Linked DNA regions of Nothobranchius furzeri. The protein of the gene in region 1 purifies or fractionates together with the protein of each later gene. This does not show direct contact. Links are inferred from orthologs where the notes say so. Each region holds a gene or a part of one and is shown on either strand. Other genes may lie near its edges. The genes, in order: wdr12 and bop1.

Region 1 (4,561 bases):
TGCCTCAAAGAAAAATACTTCAGGGCAATACTTTTACTTAATTACACTCCATCACTGCTCTTTTCTACTATATATAAATAAATTCACAAGCGTTGGTTCCGCATTAGGTGTAATCGTCACTTTTTACTTTATAATGCCTTCAGCAAGAGAGGGCCAAGTGCCCCCCAGAACCACCCCTGTTTCAACTTGTGTAAGTATTATTTAAAATGACAAACCTGTAATCTAACACAAGTTTAAAGGCAGGCAAAACATTAAGCATCATATTGGGGCAGCAGAGCGGGTTTCCCAGCGATCGGAGGATTGTGGCATCGACCCCAGCTTCGCCGGGGTACTCTGCTGTTGTGTCCTTGGGCAGGACGCCTCACCCGACTTGCCTGTCTTGGTGGCAGGAGGGCAGATGGCACCACCCCAGGGCGGCAGCAGCTCACCATCACCAGAAATGTGAATTATGGAAAGCGCTTTATAAATCTAATCCATTACTTTTAAACTGACTTCATGCCTCACACTCACTCCACTCATTAAAGTAGTGTTGACCATGTTGACCCCTCCTGAGTTGTTCCAGGATGGAAGAATGATCCATGGAGTGCCACCAGAGCAGGGGCTTCCCAGTCTATCTTCAATAAATTCTAGAGTACCCAACTCTTCACAGAGCATCTCATATCCTGCACTTCCCTTCTCCAGCTCCAGTTTCCCCTGACCAGTGTTTTTACCTCTGTCGCCCTCCACAGTGACCACCTTGTGGCATTCACCTTTAATCTAAATTCATTAAATAAATCTGTTCTAATTATTTTTTTTAAGAGAAATTGCCTGATGTGACCAAATATGGTCCTACCTGTGGAATGGAAGTCTAACAGGTCATGTGCAGCAAATTTATGTTGCAAACATCAGTTTAGTTGGTTCTTAAGTAAAACTGAAGCTAGAACCTAAACTGGGTATTTAAATAACTTATTAATAGATACTGTACTAGAGAACTCCATAAGTAAATATCCGTGCTTAATAGATCTACGTATTTTACAGTAGCTATATCATATTTTTGTTAAATGAGGCTGAATATAAATTTCTTCTACAATAAGCAGCAAATTTTTTTAAAATAAAAATAAAGAGTAGAATCAAGGCTTATTCTTTAATCTAGAGTCTAAAAAACAATGACAGTTCACATAAATTTATAATAAACCGCGTAAATATACAAACTAACAAAAATGATCTAAAGGTTTTGCAGGTCGCGTTTTTTCATCGTGATTTCAATGGATTTCACACATGGGGCCTTTAAGAGGTTTGCAGACCTGTTTTTCCCAACTTAATAGAGCTTTGAGTTCGGTTTTCCAGAAATACTTTATGAAGGAATCATGCGTCATAGAAACGTAGAAAATACTGAATCTTTAGTTTATTGTGAACAAACAGCCAGGCAGTACTAGATGCGCACTGATCCAGAGAACCCGGCACCGACTGTATCTGTGTTTGACTTTTTTAGCCTTCCTCTACACCACATGGCCACAGTGTCCTGACTTGGATGTTGTTACAGATCTACAGATATTAGCTGATTTTCTTTACTTTTAATCTGCTCAGAAAACTCGCAGACAGTAGGAATGTCTCAGTTACAGGCGAGGTTTTTTACGGAGGACAAAAGGTGAGTTTAATTCTGGGGTAGTGCGGTAAAAGCGGACAGGCTAGCTAAATAGTTAGCATCTATTTTCTCTAAACGTGTGTTAAATTTGTATTCAGGGTTTAATTTTCTGAGTTTGAGCTTCTTATCAATGTGCGTAACGTTTTCAACTTCCTACTGGCCTCGTGAGCAACCGATTAGAGGGCTTTTAGTGTGTTTTAGCTCCTTTAATGTTAATAATATGAAGTTTGGGTTTAATCGTTGATAAAGGTCAACCTGTCTCCTGGTTGGGTTAACGTTTTGTTGGGCCTTGATTTGTTTGCAGGTTTGTTGTAGATGATGTCCCGTTCTCCATCCCAGCTGCCTCTGAAGTGCAGGACCTCAGTAACCTGATCAACAAGCTGCTGGAGACCAAACATGGTACACACCATAACACACACAATAAACATAGTACACACAGCCTCATACACACTATAGAAATGGCACACACCATAACACACTATAAACGTCGTGCACACACCCTAAAACACACTATAGAGAGGGTACACACACCATACCTTCTCAGTGGCCTAATGGTAGAATGTCTGCCCTGGGACTGGCAGATCAGTTTTCAAATCCTTGTTGGGCCACACTAAAGACAAACAAATGTGACCCAGTGCCTCCCTGCTTGATACTCAGCTTTAAAGGGTTGGATTGGAGGGTTAACGCACCAAATAGTTCCCGAGCACAACCACTGCTGCAGCTCGCCGCTCCCCACAGGGCTGGGTCACATGTGGAGATGTAATTTCACCGGTGTGTGATGATGACTGAGGGGACTATAATACATCTTTAACATGGTAGACACCATAACACACCACTAGCACGTTACCCCCTAATACACACCATAAACACAAGTAACATGTTGCTAAACTACATAAAATGTCGACTGTAAAAAAAAAAAAAACTACTCATAACAGCTTAGTTTGGAGTTTAAACTATTACACATAATATGATTTATAAACGGTTATCATTCTTGTTTTATTTTTTACTTCAGTTGTTTATTTATTTATTTATTTAGCAGAATCTCACAGCAAGGTGGAGTTTGACTTCCTGGTCAAAGGTCAGTTCCTGCGAACGCCACTGTCGTCTCACATGGAGGCAGAGGGTGTATCTACGGTACGACCTCATCACCTGCCACAGAGACCAAAGCTGTCAGTATGAGTCTGACATCTGAGCTTCATCTGCGTGTATGGTTGTGTGTTTTAGGAGGACGTGGTGGAGATTGAGTATGTGGAGCGGATCACAGCCCCTGAGCCTGAGGAGTGCATGATGCACGATGACTGGATCAGCTCAGTGGATGCAGACTCAGAATGGTAAGATGGAGACCAGACCTTCTGGTTTTCTGTAACTGTCCTGTGACTCGTCCCTGTGTCTCGTTCTACAGGATTCTAACGGGTTCCTATGATAAGACAGCCAGGATCTGGTCTGTGGAAGGGAAGCAGGTGATGACCGTAGCTGGACACTCAGATGTTGTTAAAGACATAGCCTGGGTCAAACGAGGTGAGCAGACTGGGACCTTGGATGTCCCTCTTTGTTATTATTAACTTTAATGTGGACTCTATGGATGTCCCAGATGGCCTGACGTCTCTGCTCCTGACGGCTTCTCTGGACCAGACTGTCCTGCTGTGGGAGTGGAACTCTGAGAGGAACAAAGTTAAAGCCCGCCACTGTTGTCGTGGACACACAGGAAGTGTCGACACAGTGTCCACAGACCCCTCTGGCTCTAAAGTAAAGCTTCAGGGAATAGAAAGTGTTCATAGATGAGTTTGGTTTGTGTCTGAGATTGTTTGTGTCCTTTTGCAGTTCTGCAGCGGCTCCTGGGACAAAATGTTGAAGATCTGGTCTGCAGGTGGGTGAGCGATGAGAACATTTAAGCTGGAAAACCTTACCTACAGCTATAAAATACATATCACCTGTGTACCAGAGACAATATCACACAGTGCAGGGAAAATGAGACATGGAATAAGTGAAATAATCGTAATAAATGTTGACAGGTATGATTCAGCAGCAAAATATTGAGACAATGTGCTGTACACACCTGCTCTGCCCGACCAGAAGGTTGATGAAGAAGTACTCTCCCTAGATGCTGAGAAGGTGTTTTCCCACTGTCACCTCTCCAGTTACAGTGGAGCCTTTGGCTGTTGCCACGAGGTTGAGCCCAGGTGTCAGGAGCATCTCACATCTGGGATCTACTGTTAAGTCTCTCTTTATACCGATGATAGGCTTTTATATTTCAAATCCTCTTTCTGGGATCTCCAAGCTGTTGGCTCTTCTTGGGACATTTGGTCAGATCTCAAGTTGTGAGGTTAACTCTTTTGGAGCAGCAGCTCTCTGGCCCCATTCCATTTAACATCGGCCCAGATAAATTTAACTATTTGGATTACGCATACATTTAAAGACCTTTTTGGGACTAGTTATGATCCTTTATTAGCTAATCTTGAGAAATATCCAGATGGGAATCTTTGTCCCTGTCCTGGGGAAGAAGGACAAACATAAAGTTCCTTTATCTGTTCCAATGTCTCCCAATTTTTCTTTTTAAATTCTTTTTTCCGGACTATGTGGCACAACAGATGTTTATAAATGATGTGTGAAACAGAGTTTAGGAGTAAAGCTGGAAACATCAGCTAGAGCTGTGTGATTAAAGTGACAGTGTGTACCTTCCCTGGCAATAGGGGGCAGTACATACCTAAATCTTTGCAAGCAAGCAGTATTTTTGTGTTGAAGTAGGACTTTACTAACGGATGCCGATTAGGTTCAAAAAGCCATGGGGAGTGCAATTTTGAGCAAAATAACAAGCACATCAGATTCCCTTCCATCACTGGCAACAAGTGAAGAGATAAATGTGTAAAAGAACAACATTTAAGAACGGCGAAAGCTTTGTAACCATTTGTTACAAATCAGTAAATGCATTTTGTCTTC
Region 2 (4,422 bases), on another chromosome or scaffold:
TAATTTTTATTTGAACATTTTTCTGTTTTTAGATGTAGATGAAATGATGGGAATTCCGGCTCTTTTTAGAGAGCCGGTTCTTTTGGCTCAGCTCACCAACAAGAGCCGGCTCTTTCGGCTCCCAAGTGGCTCCTCAGATTTTCTGTTGGTTGCGTAGAGTACATTTATAACCAAAATAATGCAAAACTTTATGTAAAATGATTTACTAATATAAATAAATGCAACATATCAAATATTCATCATTTCCATGGATTTAATAACTGAACACTTTAAGAAATCTCCACTTTCCGACTGCTGGCGCTCATTTTCTCACCGTCTCCATCGCACTCTCCTCTCTTGCTCTCCTTTTTCCTACTCCTCATTTCCTCTCGTCTCCCGCCACCCGCATGTGCTCTGCTGTGTGTCTGAGTCATCGACATGATCTGAGTCTGATCCTCCCTCTTCCCCGCCCCTACTGCTCTGTGTGTGTACAGTCTGGACACGCAGTTACACATGTTGACCAATCACCTGTAGCTTTCACCAAAGCAAGGGGGGAGGGGGGAGGGGACGGTTCCCAATGACGAGTCGGCTCCCGTCGTTCACTTCAAAGAGCCGGCTCTTAGAGCCGGTTTGTTTGCGACCGACACATCACTAAGATGAATGCCTTTGAAGAATGTATTCTATCTATTTGAAGTAAATGTCGAGCTCAAGGTGGCGCAACAAAACATTATTATTTACACATGATCATTCATATCTGTTTATATCCTCTGGTATTCTGTTTTTTTTTTTATCGTTCCTGGCGCGCTCCGCTCATCGTGTGCTGCGGTGATTTCACCTCACTGACGCAGCATCGAAACGCGCACTACGCTTTGCGGTCAGGAGATCCCTTTGATCTGCTTAGTTCAAAAGTAACTTGTGATGTGAAAAAGTAAGAATCCAGGCAGCAGTTTTTCTGGAGAATTTAGAGGAGATGAAGGACGATGAGAGACAGACAGGACAGGACAATAGTCACATAAAAACAAGAAAACAAAACAACGTGTTGAAAAGTCAAATGTAGGTAGATTTATCTACACTACATGTTTTTACCTGTATAAAACAATAAGTTATACACATGTAATATGTATACATCTGATACAATTCAGATCACCTTCAAAACTCAGTCACACACCCAGGGCCGTTTTAAGGCATTTCGGGGGCTAAGGCAAAACAGAACCCCACATTGAGAGAACTTTCTTCAGATGTGGGCTTAATATCCTGCCTTTAATTCAATGTTAAGAATTTAAATGGGTAGTTATCCTTTTCATTTCATATTTTTACACAGAATTTGCGTAATACACATTTTCACCCGGAGAGGGCGACACAGAGCTGCACGTTTCACCATCACGTGCAACAACATTTTACTCTGCCCCACCCCCTCTCTTTTTAAATTCAACCACATGGGGGCGCTAGCAACAAACGCGCATGTTTCCTCGCTCATAACCTGTGACCCCGAAAGTTTCCCACGTGGTTTTGTAGAGGAGAGTGACGAAAACGTGCAGCTAATCGACCTTAAAAAAGATGAAGAAAAAGGAGAAAACAGACAAAAAGCGGAGTCTTCAGGAAGAGGAGGAGGAACAACAGGTGAGGCGCACTGTCAGCGAGCACGAAGAAGAGGAGGACGAAGTGGACTGGTCAGCAGCTCCCTGTTAGCTGTTAGCAAGGCATCCTAGCAACACTTGGCAGAGCTTTGTAACCCCATGACAGTTTCTAGTTGTTATTATTTGAGGAAAAGAACTAGTCGATGCTCTGACAAACATTTGACAAATTATCCGTCAAAGAGTCATTACTAATACAGAGATGCTGTTTATTTTTATTTATTTTTTCAATTGCTACTTAATGAATGGAGAGTTGACAGCTAGTTTCAAGTAAAGATTGACCTGATGAGGGCTAAACCTTGATTTTTTATTTATTTATATATTTCCTGCTCCAGATTATTTAATTTATTTCGTATTTCTTGCTAACAGATCCAAAAACTAATACAGCAAATATATTTGAAGTTGTTTAAACTTTAGTACTGGGCAAACATCAACAGAAAATGATCCTACTGATCACATTGTAACGTGTTTTAGTGTAGAATTACCTACTCAGACAGTTCAATGTCAGACCTGAGAATCCTTTTTGTCCTAGATTTATTTAGATCACTGTAATAATTGTCAGCTCTGTGATGTTGTCCTTTTTGCTTTCTCCAACAGAATAACATATATAAATAGCAACAATTCCCGTTTTGTATATTTTATTGGTTTTTGGCTACAGACAAGAGTCTTGTGTGACATGTTTTACTCTACCTCAGCTCTTCAGCTTGAACGACAAACCGTTTAAGGAAGATGAGGATGATGATGATTTATCAGACAGCGTGGACAGCGTGTATTCAGGACTGGAGGATTCTGGGAGTGACTCTGAAGAAGAAGAGGATAAAGATGAGGAGGAGGGATCTGATGAGGATGATGATGAAAATGATTCTGCTGCCGATGATGATGATAAAAATGATGAATCAAATAAGAATGCAGAAGATCAGAGTCAGAAGGTAGGACCCACGAATCAGATGGCTTGCTGCTTGTTTTCCCTCTGATCAACATTTAGTCTCTCGTATTTTGGCCTCTGCAGAAAACAGTAAAAAAGAGCAAAAAGAAAGAAGAGACTGAAGAAAAGGACGTAAAGAAAGAAAATGAGTACGAGCATGACAGCTCAGATGAGGAGGTGGGACAAAATCATCTTTAAAACGTCTGTTTTTTGTGCAGTATTGTAAAAATAGTATTTCTCTACCGTTTAAAAGAAGTACTAACATACCAGTTGTGACTGTTCTGTAGGATATCAGGAACACTGTGGGGAACATTCCCATGGAGTGGTACAAAGACTTCCCTCACATTGGCTACGATCTGGATGGGAGGAAGATCTTTAAGCCAATCAGGAACAAGGATGAGCTTGACGAGTTCTTGGACAAAATGGAGAATCCTGAATATTGGTGACCAGGCTAACATAATGCATCATAATCCACACATTTAAACACCGCATGCTAACGTGAACATGAAAATGTCTACAGGAGAACTGTCCACGATAAGAAGACGGCGAGCGACATCGTGCTTTCAGACGAGCAGATAGAGCTGGTGAATCGTCTGCAGAAAGGACAGTTTGGCGACGTTCACTTCAACGAACATGAGGTGAAACTTGGTGTTTAAAGAGAAAGCCAGTAAATATATCAGCAGAATCAGTGAAACCAGGTTTTTTTTTTCTTCCCCAGCCTATGGTGGAATTCTTCAGTAACGAGGTCATGATTCATCCAGTCACAAACAGACCTGCAGACAAACGCAGCTTCATCCCTTCACTGATAGAGAAGGAGAAGGTAAAAGAATGTCTTCATCAGGTCCACCCACCTCCACCTGCCTGATGTTTAACTGTCTGTCACACCTGTCCACAGGTCTCTAAACTGGTGCACGCTATCAAAATGGGCTGGATCAAACCTCGGCGGGTGGAAGACGACAGTAAAGGTCGTTTCTATGACCTCTGGGCCAGCGAGGACTCTTCTATTCTAGCCAAACACAGGATGCACCTTCCTGCTCCTAAAATCCCTCTACCTGGTCACGAGGAGTCCTACAACCCCCCACCAGAGTACCTGTTCACGGACGAGGAGGTCTGTCAGCCGGCTGCTCTTCTTGTTGGTGCTTGATTGCTTCGGTCTAACCCGTCTCACTCTCCACAGAAAGCTCTATGGGAGCAGCAGGACCCATCAGACAGGAAGCTGCCATTTATTCCAAACAAGTACTCGAGTCTTCGTCAGGTTCCGGCATTTTCTCGGTTCATCCATGAGAGGTTTGAGCGCTGCCTCGACCTTTACCTGTGTCCCCGCCAGAGGAAGATGAGGGTAACGGCCCGTTAGGGGGGGGGGGGGGGGCTGATGATGTAACGCTATGACGGAACTGAATTTCTGTCTGCCTGCAGGTAAATGTGAATCCAGAAGATCTGATTCCTAAACTTCCCAAACCAAAGGACCTGCAGCCGTTTCCAACAACTCAGTCCCTGGTAGAATAAACACAGATGCATAAAAACTCTCCTAAAGGTCAGATGAAGTCAAACTTAGCCGTCTGTTGCCTCTGTACCTTTTATCTTCCTGTGCTCAGGTGTATCGAGGTCACAGCAGTCTGGTTCGCTCCATTAGTGTGTCTCCATCAGGACAGTGGCTCGCTTCAGGTGAAAACTCTCATCTCCTGTCTGTTGTCATTTAAATTTATCCCAGGAGAGAATATTTATCACAGCTGTTGATTCACAAATGAATGAAAATACAAATCTATCAAATGTTTTTGACGGCTCCCTTCCAGGACTTTTTCTTTTTATTTATGTTTATGTGACTAAATACTTAATATTTAAAAGATCACCATGGCCTCGTTAGTAAGAATTAACATCTGGGGT

What was found.
Region 2: the proteins of wdr12 (region 1) and bop1 purify together in Homo sapiens (affinity purification with western blotting; 6 studies listed by BioGRID and IntAct, with this or other methods). This does not show direct contact. The link is inferred for Nothobranchius furzeri from reciprocal best matches to the Homo sapiens genes WDR12 and BOP1.

What each region holds. Positions count from the first base shown.
Region 1 is NC_091742.1:74,278,203-74,282,763, reverse strand, and holds the start of wdr12 (ribosome biogenesis protein wdr12), read left to right. Parts: upstream 1-1,460; 5' UTR 1,461-1,586; coding exon 1,587-1,627; intron 1,628-1,928; coding exon 1,929-2,023; intron 2,024-2,660; coding exon 2,661-2,758; intron 2,759-2,848; coding exon 2,849-2,955; intron 2,956-3,026; coding exon 3,027-3,142; intron 3,143-3,215; coding exon 3,216-3,370; intron 3,371-3,445; coding exon 3,446-3,491; intron 3,492-4,561.
Region 2 is NC_091759.1:9,339,502-9,343,923, forward strand, and holds the start of bop1 (ribosome biogenesis protein bop1), read left to right. Parts: upstream 1-1,432; 5' UTR 1,433-1,536; coding exon 1,537-1,599; intron 1,600-2,308; coding exon 2,309-2,542; intron 2,543-2,622; coding exon 2,623-2,715; intron 2,716-2,825; coding exon 2,826-2,980; intron 2,981-3,058; coding exon 3,059-3,176; intron 3,177-3,256; coding exon 3,257-3,358; intron 3,359-3,433; coding exon 3,434-3,646; intron 3,647-3,715; coding exon 3,716-3,877; intron 3,878-3,954; coding exon 3,955-4,035; intron 4,036-4,133; coding exon 4,134-4,203; intron 4,204-4,422. UniProt on the Homo sapiens protein: Component of the PeBoW complex, which is required for maturation of 28S and 5.8S ribosomal RNAs and formation of the 60S ribosome.